Linked DNA regions of Kluyveromyces lactis. Each later gene encodes a partner of the first gene's protein in a complex. Links are inferred from orthologs where the notes say so. Each region holds a gene or a part of one and is shown on either strand. Other genes may lie near its edges.

Region 1 (2,732 bases):
TAGAGCCAGAATGTAAACAGTAGATACTGATATGTCTTCCTCTGAGGATTTGAGGGCTCATATAGATACCGTTTTGGGTGGAGTGGCTGATGGAAGATTGAGTTCAGAGTATACTAAAGATGTAGAGCCTGCAGGGGTTGGATGTTCTTACTTATGCGTTTCGTTCATGCTCTCGGACGTACCTTAACGGATGACAGACCGTTTTAATAAGAGAAAGAAAGGTCCTTTCATTTTGGATCATGGTAGAGAATTCATATACATATGTGCAAGTTTATTTACATGGGAATTAAGTAGGGTCATTGTGGCGAGACCATTATGACCGTTATGAGGGAACATAAAAGTCAAACCTGCTGCGAACAAAAAGAGATGTTTTCCGTTCAAAAGCTGATCGATGTTATCATGCAGAATGAAAGAAAAATGGAGTGAGGAGGGGAAAAAAAGTTAGAAGGTTCATAAAACAAGCATTATCGTAAATTATAAGTCATGGTAAGGTCATTTGAAGTAGATCGATTTTGGGTTCGGGGTTCTTTATTGAGAGATTTTCTAATTTTCATTGTCCTTAACAATACCGACCTTAGCTGGTCTGATAACTCTGTCGTTCAAAGTGTAACCAATTTGTTGAACGTGGAAAACGGTACCTGGTTCCTTGTCTGGTTGAGGCAATTCGAAAGTAGCTTCGTGCTTATTTGGATCAAAAGATTCGCCAATTGGATTTAGTTGTTCAATACCGTGCTTCTTCAAAGTCTTTTCGAAAACGTCCCTGGTCATCTTGACACCGGTATATAGATCAGAAAGCTCTTGAGATTGTTCCAGAGTTTCTGGTTTGAAAGCGTTCAAAGCATGGCCAAAGTTGTCGACGGATTCCAACAAGTCCTTGGCGAATTTTTGCAAAGCGAAATCCTTGGCCTTTTGGATATCCTTCTTGGTAACTTCTTGCAAATTTCTGAAATCAGCAACTGATCTCAACAAACGGTCCTTAAATTCAGAGGCTTCCTTAGTCTTGGCATCCAACTTGGTTTCCAAATCTTTAATCTTTTTTTGCTCTTCAGTCAAATTTGCGTCTTCTTCAGCTGCAGCTGCATCGTTCTCATCCTTAGGTTCTTCCTTCTTGGCTTCATCAGCATAGAATCTAACACCGGAAAACCTAGCAGAAAACTGGTTGGAGGTTGCAGCACTAGATCTCAAAGTGCTAGATACAAATGGCACAGTAGTAGATCTGAAACCGATTGGAACAGTTCTGGTAACGCTTCTCAAGAATCTGGTTGATGGTCTCATATTTTATTGTATTCTGTTAGTAAATATTCTCTGGTCGACTTGAGTCTCACTATTAACAGTGGTTATTTAGCAAAACAAAGTGAGTTCAAATCCAACTGAGTGTCAATAAGAGGTAGTGACAGTTGGTATGTAAGATGTATTGGGTTGTTTTACTAATTCTTTCTTCTTAAATGTCTTCTTATATACGGTTCTTTCTCTCTTTCATGATCATTTTTTCAATTCAAACCAAACTCTATGAAAAAATTGAAACTTGATCCGATTTATGTTGTGGAACACGTGACATGCAGCCATTTGAGAAATGATTTATCTATACATGTTCCTGCATGTTCTATCTAGTGGGCCAGTAGGGGCTAGCAATCAATCCGCCCAACAAGTTTGAATAAACTTCTTCATGTTAACGTGTTTCTTGGTTTGTCCCACCATCCAGGGGTGTTGTAGCATTTGTCTTGGAGATGGTCTATCCTTTGAATCTTTTTTCAGACTGTAATCAAGGAACGATTTGAAGGATTTGGACCATACTATGCCTTGTTCTGGTTCATCTTTCAATTCAGGTGTGAAAGTCAAGATAAGCATCAAAAGTTCTATAGGGGGCATGTTTGCTGCTAGTTTATCCGTATCAAATGGTGAGTGTCCCTGTGCAACTTCCAATAGTGTGAGACCCAAAGACCATACATCACTGGTAACACTGTATGGCTGGCCCTGTATCCTTTCTGGAGCCATGTAGTATGATGTTCCTGTAAACGTGGTGGCAAGAGAGTTCACTGCCTCTCCACTGACTCCAAAATCGCAGAGCTTTATTTGTCCTATTTCGTTGAACAATATGTTCTGTGGCTTAATATCTCTATGAATGATCTTTCTTTCGTGTAGATAAAATAGTCCTCTAAGTACGCTCTCAGCTATCTTCCCCAGAACCTTCTCACCAATTCGTCCCCCCTTAGAGAGAAGGTGCTTGTACACCGAATCTAGCGATCTTCCGCCCATATATTCCATCGCAATAAAAATTGTCGAGGTTTCTTCGCATGCAAACATCCCGTAATACCTCACTATGAAATCAGACTTACAACTCTTGTTGAATTGCAATTCTCTGAATATTTGTTTCTCTGAGCCATCATTCTCTATCGTGGCAATGGTCTTCAATGCAAATATTTTTGAACCGTTCCTTAACTTACATTTCGTGACCGATCCTCCAGTTCCTTCGCCCAATATTCCCAACGTATCAATTTGTTCATGGATCTTGTAAGTTTGCCATATATCTGACTCAAGTTCATCTGTGCTATCATCTCTATCGTGCTCTATAATTTCACTTTCTTTCCCATGGTTTACCAGGCTTGTGCTGCTGCTTGTTGTTGGTTCGCTATCGTACATGGATATTAGATTGGAAGTCATCGAATCTGCACTTTGGGTTGACTGCTGTGATCCAGACGTTGGCAGATGGTCCGTATTGATCTTCAGCCCGT
Region 2 (2,490 bases), on another chromosome or scaffold:
TGTACGGACTGCAGTCGTTGTAGATGACGCTACTGTACCTTGATCAGAAGAAGAGCAACTTTTACCAGAATCAATAACAGTGGCAGCCAAGTGTTTTTTCGATCCCGGTCTCAAATTCTCAACTTCTTTCACTGATTCCACAGGTTCTTGTTTAATCTTGGCATTAGTACTTGAAGCAGAAGCAGGCGTAGTGGACTCTACAGCCATACCCTTGACATTTGCCAGTTGCTGCTTTATCGATAAAGAAGGACTGGGTTTTCTACCCGGTTTAGGCCTCGGTGGAAGAACCCAGTGCCTAGACGTTCGAATCGTGATCCCAGTGGGTTTCTCATGTTTCTTCGGCTGTAAATTAGGAGCAATTGTAATCTGCTGATGAGGCCCAGTGTGTCCGTGAAGGGGCTCCAATGAAACTGGCCTGGACATTAGTTAATTCTTACTCTGTGTCTGAAGTGCTTTTATTATAGAATTCTCTCCGGACCAGCGAAAACAATATTAACTGGTTCGGAACCGGAGCCGTAACCAGAGTTGCGAAGTATGCGTTTGAAAGTAGGATACAAAAACCTTACGGCGAGATGCAACCTAAATTAGTTTGAACCACCTGCGATACGATTGAATCACGCTTGTTGAGTCCTTGTGTGTCTGTTAGAACCTGTTTTAGTTTCGGAGAAGTCGTTTGTTTCGGTAGAATTAACTACTCAACTTTTCAATTTAAACCGAAATTGAGAGAGAGAGAGAGAGGGGGAACAATGGTAAAAATGAGGGCATGATACATCAAGACGAGCCATCATGAATTTATATATCTCAGGCCATAAGATAGTATGGCCTGAGTACTAAGAGGTATCTCAAGTTTGAAATGGGGATTGGGTGTTGAGTTGCTAATAATTGATCACGTGACCATGACCCCAGATACAAAGCCACGCTCCCAAACTGGATCCCCCCCCTCCTCCCCGTTACAGTACTACGCTAGTACTAGCATGCTGAATTCACATCCCCAATCAATGCAACAGCAGCGTAGCTGCTGTTGCTGGGATCACCTATCGTTTAATTTCTTGATACCTGCGTCGTTTCCGATGCCACATTCTACAATGTGGAATGAGAAGCTAAAACCTCATAAAAATACCCTATAAAAAGCCTGAATGAGCGAATGCAATTACAAACTCCATCTGTAGTCATTGTAGACTAGCTAAATCATTCTAATGAGGCATAGCTGTCAACCAGATATATAGTTATTTGACGGTGTCACAGCAAATATGTGGGGCTGGTCTTGACATCCCCGGGTAACCCCTTCTGTTTTCGAAAAGTCATCGAAAAGTTGAGAACAGAAAGAACTGGAACTAATAACAGCATTAAACACTAAACTACTCATCGGATTAACTTCTAAGCTTTGTCTAAGAACGCCGTTCCAGTTCGAGTAAACTGCGCATATCCAAGAAATACAACAAGACTATAGGATATGGCACACAGAGCGTTTATACAGGTGATTTTCACCGGGGCACAGGTGTTTGGACGTGCGTTTGCGGAATCTTACAGACAAGCAGCAGCTCAAACAGCTAAACAAACGGCAAATGCTTCTAGAGGCCGTGGTGCTAGCGCAGAATACGGAGGTATCACTTTAGATGAGAGTTCTAAGATTTTGAACATTGAGAATGAACAGGATATGAATTTGGATAAAATCAACGAAAGATTCAAGTATTTGTTCGAGATCAACGATAAAGAGAAAGGTGGATCATTCTACTTGCAGAGTAAGATTTACAGGGCAGCAGAGCGTTTGAAGTACGAGCTTGCTGAAAAGGAAAAGGCTGCCAATCCAGAACTGAATCAAGAACAAGCGAAGTCGAGTTCCACGACGGAGTCACCGGAGTTGAAAAAATAGCGTAAGGTCATTCTCTCTGGCCTAGTATAAGTTTTGTAAATAGTTCAAATAAACCGAAATACACGCATCGCATGCTCATCGTATCATGTTCAGCACAATATCATCAGTGGTTGATGAAGCTGATTTATGTCTACAACTAATTAATACAAAAATTCTCTAGAAGATGGGAAAACTGTTCCATCATGAAGAAGGGCACAACGGAGAGTGAAAATCCAAACTCTCAGGCAGCCATTACGCAAAGCCCTCTGGATCACATGCAACACCTGGAAGAACAACTAGAGCGAGCTGTTAAACCGCTTCTAATCATCACTTTCCAGACCTCTTCATAATGGTTAAAAGAAAGAAGTGATGCAAAAAACCGGGAAAAGGAAGAGACTTCCCCTCCCAACTCAATGCGCTTCCAACTTTATTGATCTAAGAAACCGGAAACGAAATGGAAACTGTGGCCAGCTTGTTTGGGGCTAGTCAGGATCCATTCAGCTATGGGTTAAAAAATGGTAACAGTCACTCTTCTCCAGTATTAACTAAAGCCGTTCCTAGATCTCCGAAGAAACCTAGGAAAAACTTCTTGAGAAAAGAGATAACCGAAACCGTAGGTTTCTATGGTGTATATGTGT
Region 3 (2,559 bases), on another chromosome or scaffold:
TCCCAATTTAGTTGAACTACTAACAGTATAAGAACTGGGTGTGTGGCCGAGTGGTTAAGGCGCCTGCTTCAGGGACAAGAAATGAGCATGCGGACTCAATGCGGCATCAAAACCGTCTCCGTCGCTTTCCAATTGACACATTCTGCTTTACCTTTGGGGGGGCCAAGAAAATTGCGATAGCCGTTTCCTTAAACCTTTAAACAGAGGTTTTCTACGCAGTTTTGTGCGAGTTGTAAGGGGCCTGGTCCGAAAATCAAAAATTTGTGGGTCCTCCAGAAAATCTTCACTGATTGCTTGGCGGCTATTGGGTGCGGGTAGAGCAGAAGTGGATTGCGAGTGACGGACACGGTTACCCGGAATATGCAGGTCTGTTAATGTTAACAGGCGCGAGTTCGAACCTCGCCGCATCCAAATATACTTTTTTTTGTTGGGTATCGATCCTTTTCATTCCGGTTTCTCTGGCATATACCATTACGCAATTGCTAATGCTGATTTAACGAATGTTTCTTTAGATATCAACCACTATTTATTATTTACTATTTACTTGTACTTACGGAAAGGCGTTTCCTTGGGTGGGAGAGTGATAGTCATCATACTTTTTCTGGTATTTTTCCGCTTCACAAGAACTCACTAGCCTTTCTTTTGTAAGAATGACAATCTCTTAGCCATTGTCTGTACTGTGGTATCGAATTAATCTTTTCACCGTAGTAATCCGGCACAGGGTTACTGAAAGATTGTGATTGAGGATTGACTCTGTTCTTTTGGATTTTGGCCAAAAATGAAAGTTGCTTCTCTTGAAACTGTAATAATTTGGGACCGGAAGTGGCCTTAAACAATGCAGTACCCACAATTGGTCCCAATAACCAACCAACAGCAGCACATGTGATCATACCAGCAGTAATTGCCATTAGTGGATCGAATCCAAAGATTGTTTGAGTTGGATCGATTTCCAAAGTGGAGAAGTAAAACCACGAACCGTTAACGAATACTATGGCTGTCGCAACCGAAGAAGCCGTGTTGAAAACACGTTCTTTTTTACGTAGCTTGAAGAATTCTGGCCATGTCATTTCATGAGAAGCTGTCTTACCAGCATTAGTGCTATTCATTCTGATGGCAACGGCATTGCGTGTAACGGCTCTTTTCAAAAGAGATTGTCCATTTAGTCCAACCAAAAGACGGTTCTGTAGATTGATTCCTAGTCTCAACATAGTTTGGGCTATTTTTCCGTGGTATTTGGTTCTTATTGCCTCTGATATCCGAGTATACTACTTATCGAGTAACACAGCAGAAGAATTGGCTGTTTGATGCTAGTTCAAACAGGTGATCTGGATCCACCCCTCGAACATTCCTTATTGAAATCATGTTATAAGCTCATTTGGTAGCTTTCCAAACTTTTTTTTGGAATTGACAAGCTTCAATATCCACGTCCGGGTAATGAAAGTACCGCTTTTTCCAATCTCTTGATCAAATGGTGTTATATCTCGAATAGATCTTCATTTGATACAGATATATGTTACGTCCGTTCATCATTGCATGATACTTTCACTATTCTAAAGCTGTCTATTATAGTTATAGGTTATATTGTTTGCCTTGCACGTCTCAAAAAGTAAGTCTTTCTGTTATAATGTCTGATGTTCTAGCTTTTGCAGAAATAGTGCAGGGCTATATTCAATCGCTAGAAGAACTCAAAGAGACAAAATTCGATAGTAATAGTGAATTGTTCTCTGAAGTGTCCCAGGAACTTGTCAGATCCAAGGAATTACTGCTACAGTTACAGGAGAGGGAGAATATACTGAAATTGAGAGAATCAGGACCAGATTCAGAGTCACCACCATTACCAGAGATTAATGGTGATATAGTAGAGACTTTGTCATGTGTTATCACAGACGATAATATAACGAACGTATCACTTGTTGGCGAAGTTGCCATCAATGGTACCAAGTGGGATCAAAGAACGAGTGATTTGTATATGAAATTCAATAATGTTAGTTCCGTTAAGATTAACGACACATTCCTGGAGCCAGTGGATGTGGTTCAGAATATATACAAATTGAAACGTGAACGCGAATGGGACAACGTGGTTACAGGATTAGTGAAATATGCAGTGACAAATTTACCACAGGTTCAATGTCCGATTCTAGTGACACCCGTATGGCAGTTCAAAGAGGCCGAGATCATCTCAATGATCAATTTAAGACCTTTAATTCCTGTCAATTATACACTATTGAAAGTTTGTATAAAGATAGGCACCAAGGCCCAAGATATTTTATCTAAACCTACTGGATTTTATAACCAAGTGGATGGTACCATCCAATGGGATCTGCCCATGCTGGAACAGGATCAGATTCTGATTTTGAGATATAAAGGTGGACAACGAACCGATGTTGTCACATCTCAAGCAATTGGGCCACCGCATGTTCGTATAGATTTTACCGCATCACAGCTGTTGACACAGGTTAACGTGGAATACGGATATTCACCAACCAGATTAACGGACCTGCCGTTAAACGTAATGACTATTTCTGGGAACTATAAGGCCCAGTGATTGTCAAGCGTTAT

What was found. The genes of interacting proteins can lie anywhere in the genome.
Region 2: MGE1 (region 1) and PAM16 share a complex: the UniProt entries of both Saccharomyces cerevisiae proteins name them as parts of the PAM complex. The link is inferred for Kluyveromyces lactis from reciprocal best matches to the Saccharomyces cerevisiae genes MGE1 and PAM16.
Region 3: MGE1 (region 1) and PAM17 share a complex: the UniProt entries of both Saccharomyces cerevisiae proteins name them as parts of the PAM complex. The link is inferred for Kluyveromyces lactis from reciprocal best matches to the Saccharomyces cerevisiae genes MGE1 and PAM17.

What each region holds. Positions count from the first base shown.
Region 1 is NC_006040.1:623,650-626,381, reverse strand, and holds MGE1 (mitochondrial nucleotide exchange factor MGE1), read right to left. Parts: upstream 1,276-2,732; coding exon 544-1,275; downstream 1-543. Other genes in the region: mitogen-activated protein kinase kinase MKK1, read right to left, coding at 1,633-2,732. UniProt on the Saccharomyces cerevisiae protein: Essential component of the PAM complex, a complex required for the translocation of transit peptide-containing proteins from the inner membrane into the mitochondrial matrix in an ATP-dependent manner.
Region 2 is NC_006042.1:1,282,825-1,285,314, forward strand, and holds PAM16 (import motor complex subunit PAM16), read left to right. Parts: upstream 1-1,453; coding exon 1,454-1,873; downstream 1,874-2,490. Other genes in the region: transcription factor HAP4, read right to left, coding at 1-423. UniProt on the Saccharomyces cerevisiae protein: Essential component of the PAM complex, a complex required for the translocation of transit peptide-containing proteins from the inner membrane into the mitochondrial matrix in an ATP-dependent manner.
Region 3 is NC_006037.1:561,523-564,081, forward strand, and holds PAM17 (Pam17p), read right to left. Parts: upstream 1,209-2,559; coding exon 618-1,208; downstream 1-617. Other genes in the region: SYP1 (Syp1p), read left to right, coding at 1,625-2,545. UniProt on the Saccharomyces cerevisiae protein: Component of the PAM complex, a complex required for the translocation of transit peptide-containing proteins from the inner membrane into the mitochondrial matrix in an ATP-dependent manner.